Linked DNA regions of Macaca fascicularis. The protein of the gene in region 1 purifies or fractionates together with the protein of each later gene. This does not show direct contact. Links are inferred from orthologs where the notes say so. Each region holds a gene or a part of one and is shown in the gene's direction. Other genes may lie near its edges. The genes, in order: KCMF1, ACOT9 and ABHD10.

Region 1 (3,658 bases):
CCATGAGCTCAAGGCTGCAGTAAGCTATGGTTGTACCACTGCACTTCAGCCTGGCAACAAAGTGAGACCCTGTCTCAAAATACATATATATATAAAATCATAATATATAAATTATCAAATATATAAATATGATCGTATCACTTTCTCTAAAACCCAAACCATCCTTATTAATATGATGGAACACTGCATGTACAGTGACACCTGAAGGCCTCCTGGAGCTGCCCATCTGGTAGTTAAATAACTCCAGAACCATCAGCTGAAAAACTGAGAAGCCAGCAAAAAAATGAATCTGCATTATAAAGCTGGTCTGTTTGGTGCTTTAAAGGAAAAATCTCTTCTATATGATCTGGCCTCCCCCACCTCTTATTTGCCTTTGTGGAAACGTAGGGTTGTCTTCATGAGTTTTGACAGCTATTTGCGACTCAGGACCTTTTTCAGTTTGACTCAAACTCAGCTATGTAAGATGGTTGAGGCTGCTGGGAATTTGACTTCGTGATAAATGTAATGTTAATCTGTCTGTGTGTCTTACACAAGAAATGCAAATCTGTTTTCTGCTTAGCAGCAGCATTGGAAAAAAGCTTGAAGACAGATTAAAACTGATAATCCAAAAGGAATCTTTGATCTGCTGAATATAAATTCAATATTGTTCCTTTTTCATTATAGGTGGTATTTGAGATTTCATGAGCTATATAGAGAAGCTTTCTTACCTCACACAGCCAATACACACACACACACTCACATGTTGCCTTATATTTGAGTGTTTTTTTAGGGTTAATAGCCCTCCCTCATAGATAGAGTTGGGACATTTGCACTTTTAAGTTAAATGTGCTGTTTTTAAATGCTTACAATTCAGGAAGTCTTTATATCTCTTTAGCAAGGGCTCAAGTGATTTTTTTTTTCTTTCTGTGAAATATTTTCATTTTTTTCTTAACTTTTGGGTTATGATGAATCGAGTGGTGTTCGACATGTACGTAGAATGTTTCACCCTGGCCGGGGATTAGGAGGTCCTCGTGCTCGTAGATCAAACATGCACTTTACTAGCAGTTCTACTGGTGGACTTTCTTCTTCTCAAAGTTCATATTCTCCAAGCAATAGGGAAGCCATGGATCCTATAGCTGGTAAGTTAGTTTCACATTAATAAGGGAAATGGCAGGGGAAGGAGGAGCTCCTTTTAAAACTTTTTGTGATGCCAGGTGCGGTGGCTCACACTCTGGGAGGCTGGAGCGGGTGGATCACTTGAGGCCAGGAATTCAAGACCAACCTGGCCAACATGGCCAAACTCCATCTCTACTAAAAATACAAAAATCAGCCAGATGTGGTGGTGGGCGCCGGTAATCACAGCTACTCAGGAGGCTGAGGCATGAGAATCACTCAAGCCTGGGAGGTGGAGGTTCCAGGGAGCCGAGCTCGCACCACTGCACTCTAGCCTAGGTGATGGAGTGAGACCCTGTCTCAAAAAAAAAAAAAAATTGTGAGATTTTTGTAGCCTCACCTCTCTGATCATAAGCCATGTTCCTTCACAAAATTGCCAAATACTTTAAAAGTGTAGAATGTGTTCAAAGCAGATACTTAACATAAAGTAATTCATACTCTTCTGGTATCACTTAAGTCCAGTAGTCCCCCTCTCATATGTGGTTTTGCTTTCCTGGGTTTCAGTTACCCATAACCAACTACAGTCAAAAAATAGGTGAGTACAGGACAGTAAGATACTTTGAGAGGGAGAGAGACCACATCACATAACTTTCATGGTATATTTTTAGATTTACTCTATTTTGTTGTGAATCTTGTACTATGCCTAATTTATAAATTAAACTTGAGCACAACAGATAAGTATATATAGGAAAAAACATATAGGGTTCTGTGTTATCCAGATGCCCATTTCAGCCATTCACTGGGGGTCTTGGAACATGTCTCCTGCAGGTAAAGGGAGTGGGAGACTCCTGTTCTAGAGACATAAGATGATAAAAAATGGTTTTATGTTGTATTTGTGGCCTCTATTGAAGCCCAAGGAAATCATAAAAGATTTCAGTTTGAATACCTCCAAAATTTCATGGTTAAACCTCCATAAGTACACATAACAAATGTCCAAAGCACATTTGAAATTAAGGTTTTATAAGACATAGCTAACATTTTTAAGAACATGTTATCTGTAAAATTCTATCACAGATTTATGCCTATCTCAGGTGTTGTGCAGGGCGCCTCATGGCTTCCAGGTACACATACATTCCACCACATGGACACATTTCAGAACTGTTATCTATAGCTAATTGACAAGACTAAAAAATTAAGCTCTTCTCATGGAAGAAAGGAACGTAAGACTTAATGTCCTGATCTTGATTTGAGAACTATATTGTTGTAGAACATACTGAAAGGTACATGTTTAATAGCTTGGGGAAAATCTTAAAAAAAAAACAAAAACAAAAATACACAGTTTTTGAACCTGGCCATGTCACTGGGTCTAGTACATGACAAACCTGGGAAGTTGGTAGCAGAACACAGGGTCAGAATAAAATATAAGAAATCACTGTAGCCTGACAATCTGCAAGACACACCAAGCAGACAAGTGGTAAGACTGTGGGACGTGTGCACACATTTAAAGCAACAATTCTGAAATGTGTCCATGTGGTGAAGTGTGCACCTACCTGGAAGCCATGAGGTGCCCTGCAGAACACCTGAAACACTGGTAAGTGTAAATCTGTAATAGAAACTGAGAACATCAGAGCTAAATGACAACTTAGGAACACAAAGGAGGAGACAGCAGACACTGGGGAAGGGTGGGAAGAGAGAGAGGAGCAGAAAGATAACTGTTAGGTACTGGACTTAATTGGGTACTGCGTGATGTAATAATATATACGACAAACCCCCGTGATGTGTTTAACTGTGTAACAGACCTTCACATGTACCTCCAAATCTAAAATAAAAATTTAAAAAAGAAAAAAAAAACCTAAGAATAATTTTACACCTATCATGTTATTAAAAAGTTAGATATACCATATAAAATTTTAATTCCAAATGTGCTTTGAACATTTGGGTGTGCAACAACAAAAACAAGCCTAACAAACTGAGTTTGGGGGATTTAAAAAATATTTCTTCATCCAAAGGGAATATTTACCTGCTATTTTGGTGGCAGACACTAAAAATTAAAGTAGTTTCTGAGAGCAGAATTCAAATTTGAGAAATTTTCACTTGTTTTTTTTCTGTCAGTGAAAATTAGTTTATTTTAGTGATAGACTGTATATTCCATGAAAGAGTGGTGTAAGAGTGCTATCAAAAGCCTGGGATAAAGCAACTGAACAAGAAAACAAACTGTTAATGAGTTTTAATGATAAAGAGTTTTTGCTGGCCTAAGAGTGTATGCAAGGCAATCATCGGTTCCCTATAAGCGAGGTAGACCCTCCACTTGGAAGAAGGCATTTCACTGCACCTTACGTAGATGAGGGTGCAGGGACAAAGGTTTACACCTCTCTTAATGAGTACAGCCTTATGGACACAAGACAGTCTGGATCATAACAGGCCACTAAGTACGCTGTACAGTCAGATGCAACAGGTTCTCAGGAGCCTTGCTGAGCACTGCTAGTGGTACCTACTGCAGTGGTACTCTGAAACAGCAGTACCAAAAGGTACTAGAGGGAGAAGGCAGAGGCGAGTGTTCAAGGGC
Region 2 (3,658 bases), on another chromosome or scaffold:
GGGTTTTGCCATGTTGCCGAGGCTGGTCTTGAACTCCTGGGCTCAACCTGTCTACCTGCCTCAGCCTCCCAAAGTGCTGGGATTACAGGCCTGTGCCACCGTGGCCAGTAGATAGCTTTTATTTTATTGTGTTGGGACTCTAGAAAATTTCTGCATAAGTTAAATAAACACTTTCTTTGCATCTGGAAAGGGCTAATTCAGTGTTCAAAGTTTGCTTTATAATTGGGTTTATCTTATTTATTGAGGAGATATGGTGCGATAATAAAGAACAGAATAAATTGTTCATAATGAGTTTGCTCAGTTGTTTACCAAATCGATTATGGACTTCTGAAACTAATAAAATAGACCAATAATAAATCCATTAAACCTAGTTGCCATCTTTTATTTATTTTGTAGATAATTACCTAATTGGTCTCTGCTCTCAAGAAATGTTTAGTGGGAGAAATGATTTATGGAATAGCCTCATGAAAACATACATACACTTGTGAAACAACTACAGACTCCTGCAAGACAATATATACTAAGGGTGGTATGGCCAGATACTCTGGGAGGAGGGTAGGTCTTTGAGATTGCCAGGGAAAAAGCCGTGGAACCTACTCTGTGTTTTATCTTGTTTTTATAGGCTTTGTGCCTTGGGCAAGGGGCAGCTTACTCCTGGAAGAGGACTGACTCAAGGACCCCAGAACCCCAAGAAACAGGGAATCTTCCACATTCATGAAGGCAAGCATGGTGTCTATGTTTTATGTCTATGTGGTGAAAAACCTTGTTTTACTTTTATTTGAAAGGTATATAGAAATGTAGTTTAGAGCAAATGAGGCATATTAAAGGTAGATCTTTCATAAACATTTCATTGACGAAATGACCAGGATAGCTGCATAATATTAATAGCTTCAGGTAGAAGTCACATTCAGATTTTGAACTATTGTTCCTGGGAGCCTTGAGGACTGAGCTCTTTTAGTTAAGCGATTTCCACTTCCTGTGTGTAGGTTCTGAAGGCATGGGAAAAAAGAGATGGGCCCATTAGTTGTACCGAGTAAACACTCCTAGTCCATAGTTATGTTCGAGGGATCCTGTTAGTCCATGCGTAATTAAAGTTAATTTCAATTACCAATATGATATGCAAACTGTGGATTGTCTTTATTAAACTAGGAGTATTCACTATAATTAAAATTTTGGCTTCTTTAAAGGGTCCAAATTATATTATGTGTGTATATAAATATATATGTAAATAAAATTTTAAATTTTTTCCTTCTTGGCCCTCAGTACTTGCCTCTCTTCTTACACTGACTAAGCTAGCAGTAATTATTTTATGTCAGTGAGCATCAGTAGTCCATATCCTGTTTGAGGTACTTTCTATCCATTCTTTTTTTTTTTTTTTGAGATGGAGTCTTGCTCTGTCACCCAGGCTGCAGTGCAGTGGCAGGATCTCGGCTCACTGCAACCTCTGTCACCCAGATTCAAGCGATTCTCTTGCCTCAGCCTCCCGAGTAGCTGGGATTACAGGCATGCTACACCACGCCCAACTAATTTTTGTATTTTTTAGGAGAGACGGAGTTTCGCCATGTTGGCCAGGCTGGTCTCAAACTCCTGGCCTCAAGTGATCCGCCTGTCTTGGCCTCCCAAAGTGCTGGGATATCAGATGTGAGCCACCGTGCCTGGCCTGTTCTTTTTTTTTTTTTTTTTTTTTTGAGATGAAGTCTTACTCTGTCGCCCAGGCTGGAGTGCAGTGGCGTGATCTTGGCTCACTGCAGCCTCCGCCTCCCAGGTTCAAGCAGTTCTCTGCCTTAGCCTCCCGAGTAGGTGGGATTACAGGTGCCCACCACGCCAGGCTAATTTTTGTATTTTTAGTAGAGTCGGGGTTTCACCATCTTGGCCAGGCTGGTCTTGAACTCCTGACCTCATGATTCACACGCTTCGGCCCTGTCCATTCTTTTATTCAAGGCACTTAGGAGGAAAAAATCAGAAATAAGACTAAATTACTAATGGTTGTTGTTTGCAGTTCTGTAACATTTAATTGTAATTATACACCAAACTTATGGTGTATCCATAATTGTTTGATAGAAAACCATTTTTTCATGAAAGTTAAAATGCATGTTAATATTTTTTTTTTTTTTTTTTTTTTTTTTTTGAGACGGAGTCTCGCTCTGTCGCCCAGGCTGGAGTGCAGTGGCGAGATCTCGGCTCACTGCAAGCTCCGCCTCCCGGGTTCACGCCATTCTCCTGCCTCAGCCTCCCGAGTAGCTGGGACTACAGGCGCCCACAACCGCGCCCGGCTAATTTTTTGTATTTTTAGTAGAGACGAGGTTTCACTGTGGTCTCGATCTCCTGACCTTGTGATCCGCCCGCCTCGGCCTCCCAAAGTGCTGGGATTACAGGCGTGAGCCACTGCGCCCGGCCCGCATGTTAATATTAATCATATTTGGTTTTGATCACTTAGTTATTGAAGGACTGAGGATTGCTATAGTTAATTTCCTATAACTGGAATATGTATTTTGAAGTGCTAGGAAAAACACATGAACTCAACACAGTATTTGAAATACTATAGATTTATCTTTTAGTTTCCAGTTATTGCTGGTTCTCTAATTGATTTTCCCTTTATTCATATAGCATGTTCACCTATACATGTGAATCATGGTGTGTGTGGTAATTAGTATCAGCTTTTCTTTTAAGAGCTTAAATTTTGTAAGCACTAATATACGCTTGCACTTTTGGGCAGTGGCATTAACTAAAATTGCATTCTTTGCCTTAGCTTGATGTAAGTCTTTGCTTCATTTTTCTGGCTTAAACTTTTCTAACAACTAGCAGACTATAAATATATGAGAAATTAATTATAATGAGACTCAGATTTGGATATTAGTACATTAGTACATTAGTCTCTGAACTAAGTAATTTGATCTAATACTGCGTATAAGAAGATAGATGGGGGCCAGGCACGGTGGCTCACACCTGTAATCCCAGCACTTTGGGAGGCCAAGGCAGGTGGATCACCTGAAGTCAGGAGTTCAAGACCAGCCTGACCAACATAGTGAAACGCCGTCTCTACTAAAAATACAAAATTAGCTGGGCATGGTGGTGTCTGCCTATAATCCCAGCTAATTGGGAGGCTGAGGCAGGAGAATCACTTGAACCCACGAGGCAGAGGTTGCAGTGAGCTGAGATCATGCTATTGCACTCCAGGCTGGGCAACAAGAGTGAAACTCCGTCTCAAACAAAACAAAACTACAAAAATTAGCCGGGTGTGGTGGCACAGCACCTGTAATCCCAGCTACTGGGGTGACTGAGGCAGGAGAATCGCCTGAACCCGGGAGGTGGAGGTTGCAGTGAGCCGAGATTGTGCCACTGAACTCCAGCCTGAGTGACAGAGCGAGACTCTGTCTCAAAAAAAAAAACAAAAAAAACCAAAAAAGAAGATAGGTGGGAATCCTGTTCATATCTCCATCATAATGGTTCTTATTGGCTAACACTGATACAGCCCCATTAAATGAATAGTTGAAGTTATCCTTTTCTGTTTGTTTATATAAACCCTGTGATTGGCATAAAGGTATTCATTTGTGCACTAAAGAGACAGTATAGTTCTTTCAGGTTTTTAGGGAGCAGAGGCTTGATCCTGTCCCTGAGCTGTTTGTTGTGGCATTAAATGGAAATCTATGGATCTTTA
Region 3 (3,027 bases), on another chromosome or scaffold:
CACCCTTCATTTTTCTTTTCAGTTGGGGTAAAGCAACATCTGATTTAAGATAGTGTATGATAAAGTTAGATAAATTTAAATTTAAGTTTGAGTCTTAGCCATAGTTAGTAGCCTAGCCCTGAACTGTTGGGCACAATATTTCATTTATCTAAACCATATTACCCTCTTTTGTAAAAATAGAATAATAACAGAATTATTATCAGAATCTTATGGAATAATATGTATAAAATACCCATCACAGTACCTGGCGTATAGTAATTATTGATAATATTGTTATGCTTTTGTTACCTCTATCCTCTTATTCAAGAACTGCTTTCTTTAGATTACTTGAAACTATTGCATATGTTAATGTTACTTAAAATCACAAATACTTTTGTTTTTCTTTCTGTTTCCAATAGCTAAAAAAGGAAGTAGAGATGAAAGGTGTGTGGAGCATGCCATCAAAATACTCTGAAGAAGGAGTTTATAATGTTCAGTACAGTTTCATTAAAGAAGCTGAACATCACTGCTTGTTACATAGCCCAATTCCTGTGAACTGCCCTATAAGATTGCTCCATGGCATGAAGGATGACATTGTACCTTGGCATACATCAATGCAGGTTGCTGATCGAGTACTCAGCACAGATGTGGATGTCATCCTCCGAAAACATAGTGATCACCAAATGAAGGAAAAAGCAGACATTCAACTTCTTGTTTACACTATTGATGACTTAATTGATAAGCTCTCAACTATAGTTAACTAGTATCACGTGTTTAGTTGGTATGTAAACTAATGTATCCAGAAGATTGGAAGAGGATAAGAAATGAAAGATCCTGATACTTTAGGTTTTTCTTTTACCTCTATTTTGTAAATATCAGATGAGTATTATTTAATGATGTATTTGCACAAGTAATGCATATTGTGAAGAAGGACCAGCTGCTGTTTAGAAAATTTTCTCGTTCCTTCTGTCCTTGATTTTTTTTCATTAAAGTATTTCCTTTTTTTAATTCAAGAAAAGTTTACCTTTCTTATGCTTATGTTAGCTATTCCAGCTCTTAATTGCATCCTTTTCTAAATAGGATTATTAATAAAGCGTAAATATTTTGTTTATTATAGACAGAAATTTGTAACATTACTTCTGCTTTGAAAATGCAATTCACAAAATACAGGGAAATTTTTATTGAAGTAAATTTGAAATGATGGAGAAATTTCAGAAGCATAATAAAGTTCACAATAAGGATAATACTTTATATAATGTATAAAGTATAATTATATATTATATATGTTACATAAACTGCACATTATATTCAAACTTAAAATTAAGCTTTTACTTTTTTTAAAGGCCCAAAATTGTACAGTGATACGAGGAGCTGTTTCTAAATTTTGGCTTATGTGTAATATATTTAAATGGGGAATTTCATCTAAAACAATGATGTAGCATTTTAATATTCTGATTGGTAAAATTAAAGAGGAAGTTGATCTTTATATGTTATTACTTATAGAAACATTCATTATTTTATTAATATTGCCCTAAGTACAACTAGGCACGTGGTTGCCACCTAAATCAGAAGACTTTCTGAAGTCACTAAGAAAGTGTGAAATGCTAGTGTAAAGGTTGCTTTTTTTTTCTTTCCTAAGTAACTAAAGTGAGATGGAGATTAAGCCTTGATATTATTGAGTTAATGTTTTTTATTTATTAATTTTGACTGGATTTTATTTAGCTTGATTAGGTTATTATCTGTCAAACCTTTTAAGTTGACAACATGACTCATATATATACATGTATATAAAATGAGCATGTGTCGAAGACTTACTCAACTCATTAATGAGGAAACCAGCAGATAGTAAAGCTGGTTCAAAGTGCAGTTCAAGAAACTAAGGGCATTGAAGAAAAAATGTTGAGAGAAAATTGCTGAGCAGAAAAAAGTGTTAATGAAGCTGACCTGACTACTTATGCTTAAGACCTGCTTTACAAGGTTGGCCCTTGATTGGCATCTGGGAACTTGGAGTTCAGGGGGCTTCCACCATTCCCACAACTGATCAAAGTAGCTTACTATATCTAAACTGTAAAACAATATAGTTTCTCCTGAAAACAATATAGCTTTCCTTCTGGGAGTCTGGAATTTTGGTATGTGCCAGGCAGAGACTACCCTTTGTGACCAGCTCCCATTAAAAACCGCAGGCACTCAGTCTCTAACAAGCTTTTCTGGTTGACGGTGTTGCACAAGTGCTGTTACAACTGGTTGCTGGGAGAATTAAGCTCATCTGTGATTCCACTGGCAGAGGATTCTTGGAAGCTTGCACTTAGTTTCCCCTGACTTCACCCCATGTGTCTTTTTTCCTTTGCTGATTTTGCTTTGTATCCTTTAACTGTAATAAATCATGGCCGTGAGCAGAACTGTATGTGGAGTCTTATGAGTCTTCCTAGCAAATCTTCACATTTGGGGATGAGTTGAGGGCCTCTCCACAGATGCAAAACTGGTTTATGTCCTATGGGGCAATTAAACTACAATCCATGGGTTATCTTTTATACTGGACAAAAATTACAAACCACAAAGAAATCATACATGAGCGCAACTGTCTCTGGTGTTGGAGTGGGTTGATAGAAGATGGCACTGGCTATTCAAGGACTTACTTTGCCTAGACGTTGCTAGGTGTGAGGCTTGTTAGGAACACAAAGGCAAGGGCCCTTGCCAATGATGGTTTTCTGTACAAAATAATATGATTAGAGATTCATAATACATATGTAGAGACAGTATAGCATAATGGTTAAGGGCAGAGACGAACTTGGTTTTTAATTCTGGCTCACCATTTACTAGCTCTGTGACTGAGCAATTAACTTCACTGAGTCTCAATCTCATCTACCTCTGTTGAGATTAGAGGCATTTCCAGATACAAATCTAAACAGTACACCATTCTCCAAACAGCCACTATAGAGGCGTCTCTGGAGGAGGAGAAGAAAAAAGCTCTGGGCAACACTGAGTTTATTATAAAGTATGGAGATAGAAAGCTGAAAGAATTACTTGCCATGTAACTATTCCAAGGAT

What was found.
Region 2: the proteins of KCMF1 (region 1) and ACOT9 purify together in Homo sapiens (affinity purification with mass spectrometry; 3 studies listed by BioGRID and IntAct, with this or other methods). This does not show direct contact. The link is inferred for Macaca fascicularis from reciprocal best matches to the Homo sapiens genes KCMF1 and ACOT9.
Region 3: the proteins of KCMF1 (region 1) and ABHD10 purify together in Homo sapiens (affinity purification with mass spectrometry; 3 studies listed by BioGRID and IntAct, counting the BioPlex papers as one, with this or other methods). This does not show direct contact. The link is inferred for Macaca fascicularis from reciprocal best matches to the Homo sapiens genes KCMF1 and ABHD10.

The regions. Positions count from the first base shown.
Region 1 is NC_088387.1:36,552,636-36,556,293, reverse strand, and holds part of KCMF1 (E3 ubiquitin-protein ligase KCMF1), read left to right. Parts: intron 1-943; coding exon 944-1,118; intron 1,119-3,658. UniProt on the Homo sapiens protein: E3 ubiquitin-protein ligase which accepts ubiquitin from an E2 ubiquitin-conjugating enzyme and then transfers it to targeted substrates, promoting their degradation by the proteasome.
Region 2 is NC_088395.1:23,661,297-23,664,954, reverse strand, and holds part of ACOT9 (acyl-coenzyme A thioesterase 9, mitochondrial), read left to right. Parts: intron 1-622; coding exon 623-720; intron 721-2,607; coding exon 2,608-2,634; intron 2,635-3,658. UniProt on the Homo sapiens protein: Mitochondrial acyl-CoA thioesterase. Catalyzes the hydrolysis of acyl-CoAs into free fatty acids and coenzyme A (CoA), regulating their respective intracellular levels. Regulates both mitochondrial lipid and amino acid metabolism.
Region 3 is NC_088376.1:171,098,064-171,101,090, reverse strand, and holds the end of ABHD10 (palmitoyl-protein thioesterase ABHD10, mitochondrial), read left to right. Parts: intron 1-398; coding exon 399-743; 3' UTR 744-2,383; downstream 2,384-3,027. UniProt on the Homo sapiens protein: Acts as an acyl-protein thioesterase that hydrolyzes fatty acids from acylated residues in proteins.